3 linked regions of the Schizosaccharomyces pombe genome follow. Changing the gene in region 1 together with any one later gene gives a genetic interaction. Each region holds a gene or a part of one and is shown in the gene's direction. Other genes may lie near its edges.

Region 1 (3,759 bases):
GGGATGGATAAATAAACACGCTCGCTGATAACTTGTAAAAAATAATCAAAATAAGAGTAAATAAAAATGATAAAATAAAAAACAACGATAACAAGGGACGAGTGGGTGAAAGGAAATTTTATGTTTGCGTTTTCGTTGAACCAGCGCAGTACAGAAATACAGAAAGAATTGGGAAGTACAATAACAGCTGGGATGTGGGATGTGGGATTTAATGGTAGGCAGGATAGGGTAAGCAATGCTGGGACAAAGAGAAAGAGGTGAGGGGGGTGAAAAAGTTTTGTGAAAGAAAGGATTGTTTATGCTACGGTTGGAGAAGAGAGGCGAGGGGAAGTGAGGATGGCTTGGATGTAGTAAGGATAATAGGAAATTAGAAATAAAAAAAAAAAAAAATTTGGATATGATACATAAATGGTAAAAAATAAATAATAAATTAATAATCATAAATTAAAGAAAGAAAAAAAAAAGTAAAGAAAGCAACGGTGAAAGTAGTTGAGGAAACTCAAAGAAAACAAAATAAACCATAAGAAGAGGAAAAGTGTTCAATCGTAATAAGAAAAAAAGAAATCAAAATATATTTAATGAAATTATAATAGCAATAAAATAAAGATTATACTAAATTCATGAATGATAATAAATAATAAACAGAAAAATTTAAAGGGCAAAAAAGTAAATTATAAAAATTAAATTAATTATAAGGTAAAATAATTTAAAAATTTTAAAGTACAATAATAAAAATTCGAAATATTTGTTTATTCAATAAACTAATGGAGAGATTTTCCATATTCAAAGTTTTGTTTCATTACTAATTTATAAAATGATACTTTTACTTTTGATTTATTTTATAAATTTTATTTTTTGCTTTTGATTTAATGTATTAATTTTATTTTACTTTTATTTTTTCACTCTTCAAATTCTTAACCATTCGCGTCTTTTCATCGCATCGCCCATCATATTTCCTGCCCAACAACTGTATTCATCAATAATATCGCTACTTTCATCCTACATCTTTGCCTTCGCAAGTTGCGCAAGCTTGCTCGCCATTTCGAGTGCTGATGGAATCAGCGATATCGATGGAGTTAGCGATGCCATCACAGAAATTGCAATTTTACACATCACAAAGTAAAACAATTAGCAATTCTTTCAAAATATCCATCCACTCCGCTTAAAGAAATCATTTCATCTTCATACCACCCCATTATCCCACCTTCTCTGATGGATAGTGGAATCCGCCTTGAATGTCTCTCTCTCTTACTATTACTTGCTTGGCATCTGAGCTGAGCCAATCCAATGTCGCTTAAAGCAGCCCAAAACTTGGGTAACATAGCGAAGAAACGCAAAGAAAAAAAAATTTCTTATGAGGAATCAGAATCTATCGGAGCCATGAATCATGGACACCACTTTCATATTTTTGGAACAAAGCAAGAAAACCTCTAGAATAGATTGGAAGCAAATTGATCCAACTACCACATGTCCTTCATATCCCCCCCCAAACATCATTCATCTATCCCTATGAGCCTCCTTCCTCAAATCCTTTTCCGCATTGCCTTCCCCTTCGCTATACCTAGACATTACAGAATTTATCCATCCCAATCTTCCGCCCCCTCCCAATTTTCAACTGCTAAACCTTGCTCTGATCCAATTTTTCCATTGTTGAGGCCTTTCTGGATGCAGCTTTCCAAACCTTTCAACGTCCCGGCTTGACTTAACTTCCACGTCTTATCATTCACAAAATCGGCAGTCCAAGACGCCAACTTTACCGACGCGTTTTACCCCATTGAAATTATGGATGTTTGCTTTACGCAGTGGTGTGAAATCACGGTGGACTAACGTTTGATGTGCAAAGGATCTCGTTGTTGCAGATAGTGTTACCTGCCACTCTCGGTAACAAATGTGGTTGACAAGCCGCGACTGATGTTTATCTCATATAATCATAGATCTGCCACAATCACCTTTTTTTTCCATTCTTTGCATATATAACATCAGTCATCTCTCCTAAGAAGAGCCGGTCGTCCCTCTGCTAAGCAACCATACAAAACATAACGTTCATCCTTTCTTTTTTGTTACATTCGTCTTCCTTTCTTCAGCCTAGATAGAATTGGTTTGGTGTTTGTGCTATTCTCAATTTTCCTCGTTTTGGATTGTGTTTTTCTTGTTTTGTTTGGGAATCATCATTCATCCATTAACATCTTCTTTACTTTTTTTTTTCATCGTTCATCGAATCCTACTTCCTCTTGACACATAATTAGTCTGCTGGTTTCTTTCTTCCTTCCTTTAAACATTTTGTGAAGAATCTCGTAACCTACCATTCGGTGCTGCTGTATTATAAATCTAATCTATTTGATTCGCTACGGATCTTTCTCACCTTAGACCTTTACTACCTGAAGGGTTCTTTTCTTCTTCTTTAATTCTTTGTCACGATATATTATAACTTTTCATTTTCTTTTTATTTTATTTTATTCTATTTGCTTGTCTGGGTTTAGGTGCTTTGTGTTCTCTTTCTTCTATTCTTTTTTTCATTGTTCCAACTACTCTGCTGACTGCAATATCACGCCTCTTTGAATTCTCGGGAAAAGGCTTATCTACTTTTCCTTTGTTTCATTCGTCTGCTGTCGCCCTGTAGCTTTAACGTTTTCTAACTCCGTCGCTGGTTTCGTCGATTAACTTTGGGTTTCGCATACGGTTTCGTGTAATTTCAAACATTTATTTATTATTTATTTATCTATCTGTCGGTCTGTTTTCTTTGCTTATTTTCCGCATTCATCTTAGCTTATATTTCAATCGTTGAATCCCATCCCTTGCTTCATTCGTTTTTCTCTTCTGCCAACAAATTCTTCTAGAGATTGCATCTTTTATCGTCGTTAAGGAGATTGGTTAAGTAGTTTCCCTCTCATTTTTTCAATCTCTCCTTTCTAGCTTATTTTGGGTTTTTACACAGTTCAAGTTTTCCTTTTATCTGCCTGGTCCCCAAAATCTCGGTTTTGCTTTATTTTCTTTCTTCAAATTCGACTTTGTGCGCTTGAAGATTCGATTTCAAGCAATCATTATTATTTCTTACACTCTTTCTTTGGATGACTATTTTCGCCAACACATCTATCTCTTCATTTTTGCAACTTTTTAGGCTTACTAAGCTTCTTTTTCTTGTATAATAATATTAACTGATTTTGGGTACGTGTCTTCAACATGGCATACCTTTAGAGATTTCTGTTTTTTTCCAGTTAGGAGCACTGTTTAGTCAATCTACTCGTTCTCCTCATTGTGTTCGTCTTCCAATTTTTGTCATCCATTTTTACTTTTCTACTAAATTTTCGTCGAAAGCTTTCATTGTTAGCTTTTTTCCCTTTCATAAACTCGTATTTTCTTCTCTTTGAGAAAAAGCTTGCTAAAAGTTTTCATTTTTCTCCAACAGCTGCTTAAAATTTCATCTTAGATATTTCTCTACACGATGTCGAAAGTTAACATGCGAGCTTTGCTCGAGTCCTTTAGTACCGTGATTCTTTCTATCTACCCCTTGGCTAAAAGTACAAATCAACAATCACATTCGCACTCCCTTTCACTTACTCAGTTTTTGTATGAAACGATTCGCAGAAGTCGTGTCGATTACACTACGTTGCTTCTTGCTTTATATTACTTCATCCGTTTTCGTGATGCTGCTTCTTCTAAGCCTACTAACTACATTCCTCTGTTATGTGGGCGTCGTCTTTTCTTAGTCTGCTTGATGGCCGCTACAAAATTTTTACAGGATCGTAGTTTTAGCAATCG
Region 2 (3,759 bases), on another chromosome or scaffold:
GTAGGAAACTCTGAATTGCTGGTAGTCGAACGACCAATCGCCGATATGTTGATGAGTAAATCAATGCCAGCAAGCTTTTATGAGCACAAATTTGGCTCGTAAATATGTATTATGTATGAAGATGGAGGAGTTTCTTCGTACTAAAAAAAACGAAGAGGTTTTAATATGTCATTTTACGTAAAAAAAATGTCTGGAATAGGGTGGTATTATTATGATTTTGTACAAAAAGGTCTTTTATTATAGGAGTTTATTTTATTTTTATTTTTTCCGATAAAAAGCATAGATTAGTTGCTAGTTAGTTTATCAATAAAACATTTCAAGGTGACACACCCATCCACAATATGATTATGGCAATGTAGCTGTGAATTTCCAAAGTCTGAGTTGTTTATTCCCATTATCGATTGGAGCATTATGCCTGTAATATGGTTTCACTTGATTCTAGGCAGATAGGCGTACAATTTTACGAACCCAAATTTTTTGATTAATAGACTTAACACGGCGAACTAAAATTTAACCGAACGCTATTTTTGTTACACCACATAATTAGAAAATTACTCGCATGAGGATAATTAAAAATACTCTGGTAAAATTAAAATTATTGTAGAAGACAGCTTGTATTTAAAGAGTAGCAATTACCATCTACAACTTATAAAGAAAACATATTCAAAGTAACAGAATCTTACAAAGGATATATATGCAAATGAAACGAAGAAAGCTCATACATGAACCCGTCTACGTTTCTAAACTTGATTACATTTGATATATTCAAAATAAAATAAAGAAGTGAAATAAGTGATTGACGTAAAAAATTATTTTCTTGCCGATGAGATTATACATTCGTTTGTTTATTGAAATTTGTTCACAACTTAGATAAATCTGTTTAGTAGTACCAGTTTTATGTACCCCCATTTAGTTACTACGATCCCACTTAAAATGTAATACAAACTGTCAGTACTAACCAGAAGAAGGACAATAGTACTAACGACTTAGACCCCCCACTTTGGTACAAAAACACCACCTGAATCAACAGCATGTAAAGTAGAAGTCATAGATTAGAAGCATGAGAACATTTCGTAGTGAAAATAAAACATTGCGTTGAGAAGCAATCTCGTTCAACTACCAAACATTTTTTTCCATTGAATAGAATAATGTTATGACCTTTAAGCCAAGCAATGCGTTTTTCAACGTTTTGGTTCTGTTATTTTCTATCCTACTTTTATCCGCACCACCAGGTGGAATTATCTGTGAAACTAGACGGCTCATAAATATCGTTATGTCACTGATTGCGAATCTATTTATCCATGCTAGTTATTCATGTTCATTCCCCACATTCTCCTCAAAAATTAATTATTTCATCGGAAATTAACTGACTTAAGTCTTGACTATTATTTACAATTTGTTTAATCCATATACTAAGTGATAAACATTTACACACAGTAATTGGGCTGCTTATTTCCTTCTGCTATGTAAAATAAAGATTGCGGTATATGCTATTGTGAAGAAAATCGATATTATTAATGTTAATCTATCTAGCTGTAGTTATAGCTGGATTGCACCAGCCATTTTGTTAATAACGTGATTTTCATAAAAAAAAAGCTGTAGATGATCGAACGGGTCAATATTTACATTCTTGAATAATTGATTTACCTCTGCTTCTTGTCCCCACTTTTTCTTACTTGCGTGCGCAATGTTAGCAGTACGTACATTTCACGATTTGGCCAATATGATTTACAGCAAGTAACTTATCAATTAACCGCTTTTGAAAATCAAAATTTTGTACTAGTTTCTTTGTTCAAGTTCTTTGATAGATGGCGTGCTATGAATGGAATAGTTTTGGGCTACGTCGTCACTTACATGATGTGCTTGACCCATTGAATTAATTGTGTGTTAGTACTTTACGCTTTCAGTACACATCGTTGGTATGGTAAATTTGTGAATCGGCCATACCAAGATGGAGATCACTTGAGGCTTAATTAATTCAAATCCGAAAATTCCGGTTGTTGTTACTAACAGTAGCTAGTTACGTTGCAGAAATTACGAGTTAGAATGGACATTGTACATTCACAATGTAAGGATACCGATTCGCGATATTGTCACTACACTATAAGATTTATCCTTATAAAGATATCGATTGCCCACCGTTTATAACCTTCCATAATTTATCTCTTTACCAGTTCCGCCTTGTTTTTTGTTACATTCTCTTTTCTTACCACACCATAATTGCTTTTGGTATACAAGCGACAACTTTATTTATTGCTTGGTACGAATCGTTCACAAATTCGATCTCTTAGTCGTATCCGTTTATCATTTTTTATAAAATAGTAGCTGACGGAACTGAATTGTTTTCTTTAAAAGAGTCTGTACCACTTACTTTTCTCCAGCTTTTGGTGTTCTTTTATAATTTCTGTCCTATCAAGGTTGCGGTAAATTAAATTGACTGCACTGTAAATGAATTCGAAAGTTTGAACAGCGTAACCAAATTTTGTTTTTCTTTTGCAATACATCGTTTGGTTTAATTGAAATTTATTTCCTTATTTTTGCTGCATATGGACATATTTTACTAAATATCTTTCTCTTCCTTTTATTTTTTTTTATTTTTTTTTTCTTTTTGGAATTAACCTTGTGTTTCTTTGTAATATTTTCATTAGTATGAATGCATTGTCTGCTTCTGAAATCCGTTAATCAAACTAAATAACTATTCACCGAACCTTTTTGGAAACATATATTTATCGCATCTAATTTCTTCCGCTTCATTTTGCATTCTTTTAATATTTATATAGCCTTTTTTCACTATATATTATTGGGTTCTTTCGTCTTGGCTTTTTACAAGTCCTTTGCAATTTACTCTTTCGATTCCTTTATATTACCCCTTCCATTATTGATATCTCTTTAGCGTCCTTGAAAACCCAGTAATTTTTCCCTTTTTTTTAATCGTCACCTCACTCTTTTTTTTTCTTCCTTTTTAAATCGTCCCTTAATTTTCCGCCGTTGTATCGCTTTCAGTTAGTTAAACACTATTCGCTTTGACCACTACCTCTTAACAAGCAATCTGAGCCTGTTTATGTCCAATTATTTTTTCTTCAGTATCATTTTTTTAATAATTCACTGAACTTTGAGCTGCAACTTCATCGACTGTGAAGAGCTTTTCTACTCTTTCCTTCTCATTATTTTCAAATACCTGTCTACCCAGTATGTTAGTTTCTTCCAATGAGGAACAACTTACTGCTCATACTCCCACTTCATCTTCAAGTATAGAACCTAAAATATTAGCTGCCTGTTCATATTCTCTATCAGTGGGCCCTTGCTCTTTAGCTGTTTCACCAAAAGGCGTTAATTCCAAATCTCCCTCTCTTAAAAATGAGACTGCATTTGTTGTCGACTCTGTTAGCACATTGTCAGCGGAATCTAGCGCCTTACTTTATAACACTCAATCCTCTTTACTCACTGGTTTATCAATGAACGGGTATTTAGGTGAGTACCAGGAAGACATTATCCATCATCTGATTACTAGAGAGAAAAATTTTTTGCTGAATGTCCATCTTTCTAATCAGCAACCGGAACTCAGATGGTCAATGCGACCTGCACTCGTTAATTTTATTGTAGAAATACATAATGGATTCGACTTGTCTATTGATACTCTTCCGCTTAGTATTTCCCTCATGGATTCATATGTCTCGAGGAGAGTGGTATACTGCAAACACATTCAGTTAGTAGCATGTGTTTGTCTTTGGATTGCCAGTAAATTTCATGAAACAGAAG
Region 3 (3,759 bases), on another chromosome or scaffold:
TCGCATGTCTTGAGGGCAACAGATCGAACAGAATCAATATCGTACCGACATATCTCCACAATTCTTAACGAGAATCTGTCAAGAAAATCAACCACAAAATCTTGATCTTTTTCAGGTTCATGAGAAGAAAGATAATCTATTATTTTTAAGGAGATTTTTCGGATTTGTGATTCCTATACGTTCAGTTAGTATTTAAATGATACAGCAGTAGCGATTGTTTATACACTTACTGCATCAGATAACCCCCAGCCAGAATGTCTAATCAAATTTCTGTTTATAAGATAGGTGGGAAGCAATTGGCAACAATCATATAGAGCAGTAACACACACTATACGAATGCTTGCACGTATATCATGAATCCTTGAGAATAGTACACTAGTAAAAAGGTTAGAGTCGTTAAGAAAAGTAGTATTGCCAACCTATCACAAATGTCGTGAATCATGTCAATGAACCTAGATGTTAAGTCTCTCAGTACCAGAATTTCCGCAGTTTGATTTGATTTTTCGGAAAGTTTGTTTACTATAAGGCATAAGCATCGCATGATATCACAGCAAATAGTTGTTGCAGTATGTCTAACAAGCATCCAAGGACTTGTCGTCATGGTAAAAATCCAAGCTTTTGTAGTTTCCATGAATGAGTCTCCGAGGAATGCGTCTTCCACGTAAACTTTACTGATGAATTCGACCAAAAAAAGCTGAAAACGAATACGCACCGTTTTAGCTTCTTTAGAGTTAGAAGTATAAAGATAATCAGTATAAGCGCAAGAAGACTAGCGATATGTATGGTAAGTAAATATTACAAAAAGATGATGCACACACCTTTTGAAAACTTGAACGATTGACCTGAGACAATGTTTCAGGAATTGAATCTACGTCCTGTACATCAAAGTTCGTAACGAAGGGTTGACAACCAGAGGCCTATGAATTAGTTTACGTTTCAAAGGAAGAGTAAACAAAACAGCAAAAGCTAGAAAACGTCGCGGATCATTCCTGCTAAACTTACAACTAATGCGAAATTTATAAAGGTCAGCATGAAGTCAGCGCTATTACTTTTATAGTCTTCAAAATAATGTTGAGAAAGTTGCTCGAGCGGCATATCTATATCCAACAGTTTGACTTTTCGTATGCTTGTTAGAATATATTATCGAAGACTTTTTTTCTCTTATAAGCAAGCAAACTTACGAAAAAATTCTTGTGGAAAGGCATAATCATGAGAATTTACGTGCATCTCTTCATTCGTCTCTATTTCATTATTTTCTTCATTCTCCGTCAAAGAAAATTCATCTTGTGTTCCCCATTTCCGCTTTTTTTCTGAGGGCGAGGCACAAATGCTGACATTCTGTAAACTTGGACCTTCATATTCAACATTTTCAAGCTCCACGCTTTCTAATTCAGTAAGGACTTCATTGAGATGACTGCTTGCATCTGATTCAAATTCGAATCTCATTGAAATCACTCAATTAATTGGTACGATGGTGGTTGGTTATGGCAAAGATTAATCTAACAGAAACGATGGGTTTGTTTACGTGACACGAGTCGCGTCAGTCAGTCATTAATTATTTTGCAGTTCACATACAACCATTGCAATCAAGTATATAATAATTTATTAAAGTTTTACTTTTGAAACATAAAGTAACTAATTTATGAATAAGAACGCGTTTTTACTCGGAATTTCGGGCTTTTCCCTGACCCCTTTTGAGAACCCACCAACTCCTTTTTCTCATTAGTAGTAGCTCGGTATTCCTTTGCAAAGTCCTACTCCAACTTTTGGTTAATACTCTTGTTCGTTGGTTTCATTTGAGATTTTTAGTTCTTGTACTGTTGTAGTACTAATCTTTCTGGTCAATCCAAAAGATTACTTTCCTCGAATCCTTCGTTCAATAGTATCTTCATATATTTGGGTGTAGAGTCATTTTTTCGAATTTTTAGAAGTCGAAAAGCATCTAAATTTTTAAGGATCTTTTCCAAAGAGAAGACTAGGGTTCCTACCTGAGTAAAAGGCAGTTTGAAAACCGACTTTCATCGCATGTCCAAAACTTTCTAAACAAGTGTGTGCTGGTTTACTAATGGACGTTTCGACTCAAACAAGACACGCAACATATTTTCAAGATGAGAATCAGCTACAAAAGGATCACATTTATGTGAAGAAGAAAAGTCACATCAAGTTAAATACGGGTGTTCGTGCACCTTTCAAGGCAGTAGATAACATCAATCAACAAGATGAACCAACATTGATTGAAGGGAATAATGAATCCTCCATCTCTTCGTCCACTGGCGACACTTTTGAAGAGGATTTTGCATACCAGGACAAAGTCGAGATAGAGGAACGGTCAATTCGCTCCACTCCTAAGTCTATTGGAGATGATGATTTGGAAAACCGTGAGGGCAGCTTTGACGCACCTGAAGGAATTCTTACACACGGGAAGCATAGACTACCAACAATTCCCGAGTGGACCAAGGAAGATTTAGCCGCCCTGTCTGAAGCTGCTGCTCGATTACAAGCTAACCCATCGCCTGAGGATATAGAAACTGATCCATCCATGGTACCAGACTATGATCCTGAGATATTTCACTACATGCAATCTTTGGAAAGGAAGCTGGCTCCACCTCCTAATTACATGTCAGTTCAGCAAGAGATTGACTGGGTTACAAGACATATGCTTGTTGATTGGATTGTGCAAGTTCAAATACATTTTCGTTTACTTCCTGAGACATTATTTTTGGCGGTAAACCTTATCGACCGGTTTCTTTCCATAAAAGTCGTATCTTTGCAAAAAGTCCAGTTGGTAGGTTTATCAGCTTTGCTGATTGCCTGTAAGTATGAAGAGATACACCCTCCAAGCATCTACAACTTTGCGCATGTTGTCCAAGGGATCTTCACCGTTGACGAAATCATTAGAGCCGAGCGCTATATGCTGATGCTTTTGGATTTTGACATTAGTTGGCCAGGGCCCATGTCGTTTTTGCGTCGTATAAGTCGAGCTGATTCTTACGATCACGACATTCGCATGCTCGCCAAATATCTTCAAGAAGTAACCTTGATGGATGAAATTTTTATAGGTGCCCATATTAGCTTCATTGCTGCTACTGCCTACTACTTGTCTATGCAGATGTTGGGTCATTTGGATTGGACTCCTTGCCATGTATATTATAGTGGGTACACGGCTCGTCAATTGAAACCGTGTGCCATAATCATTATGGAATGTTTGGTCGATGCCCCTAACCATCACAATGCCATTTACCGAAAGTACTCGGAGAATAGAATGAAGCGAGTTAGCGCCTTTGCTCACAACTGGGTACTAAGTGTGATTTGAGTTTGCTTTCAGAAGTTGTTAACAATGATATTCTGAGTTAGTTTGCTATTATTAAGCCTACGATATTTATTATTACGGATCATTGTCTTAATATTTCCTACAGCAATCACTCGAGGGCATTTTATATCTTACCTAAGGTAGTAGTTTTTCTCCACTCCGTTTGCTAAGTTTGTCGTTTAAACCACCCCTATTATCCCCCAGAGACTTGGAACTACTGTCTATTTTATAACTATCTTTCCGAATTCCCTCTTCCATCTTGTTTTCTATATCTTTTACTATACTTAAATAACGTTACGGGTATCTCTATTGTAATTATTTTTTGATACCCCTTAAACCATTTTTATTTTTTTGGATTAATACCTTTTTAATTTAATTTTGTCCTACCTTTACACAATCGTCTCATCCGACCTTTGGGCATGATCGACGGGTTAATTGGACTAATTGTT

The links.
Region 2: mutations in pas1 (region 1) and puc1 are lethal when combined (synthetic lethality), as found in Schizosaccharomyces pombe (one study listed by BioGRID).
Region 3: mutations in pas1 (region 1) and cig1 are lethal when combined (synthetic lethality), as found in Schizosaccharomyces pombe (one study listed by BioGRID).

What each region holds. Positions count from the first base shown.
Region 1 is NC_003424.3:1,359,129-1,362,887, forward strand, and holds the start of pas1 (cyclin Pas1), read left to right. Parts: upstream 1-2,004; 5' UTR 2,005-3,442; coding exon 3,443-3,759.
Region 2 is NC_003423.3:3,700,085-3,703,843, reverse strand, and holds the start of puc1 (G1 cyclin Puc1), read left to right. Parts: upstream 1-2,154; 5' UTR 2,155-3,191; coding exon 3,192-3,759. Other genes in the region: U3 snoRNP protein Utp4, read left to right, coding at 1-102.
Region 3 is NC_003421.2:1,225,480-1,229,238, forward strand, and holds the start of cig1 (G1/S-specific B-type cyclin Cig1), read left to right. Parts: upstream 1-1,746; 5' UTR 1,747-2,065; coding exon 2,066-3,313; 3' UTR 3,314-3,759. Other genes in the region: meiotic cohesin complex STAG protein Rec11, read right to left, coding at 1-173, 231-375, 420-769, 819-917, 1,003-1,115, 1,182-1,446. UniProt on the Schizosaccharomyces pombe protein: Required for efficient passage of the G1/S transition.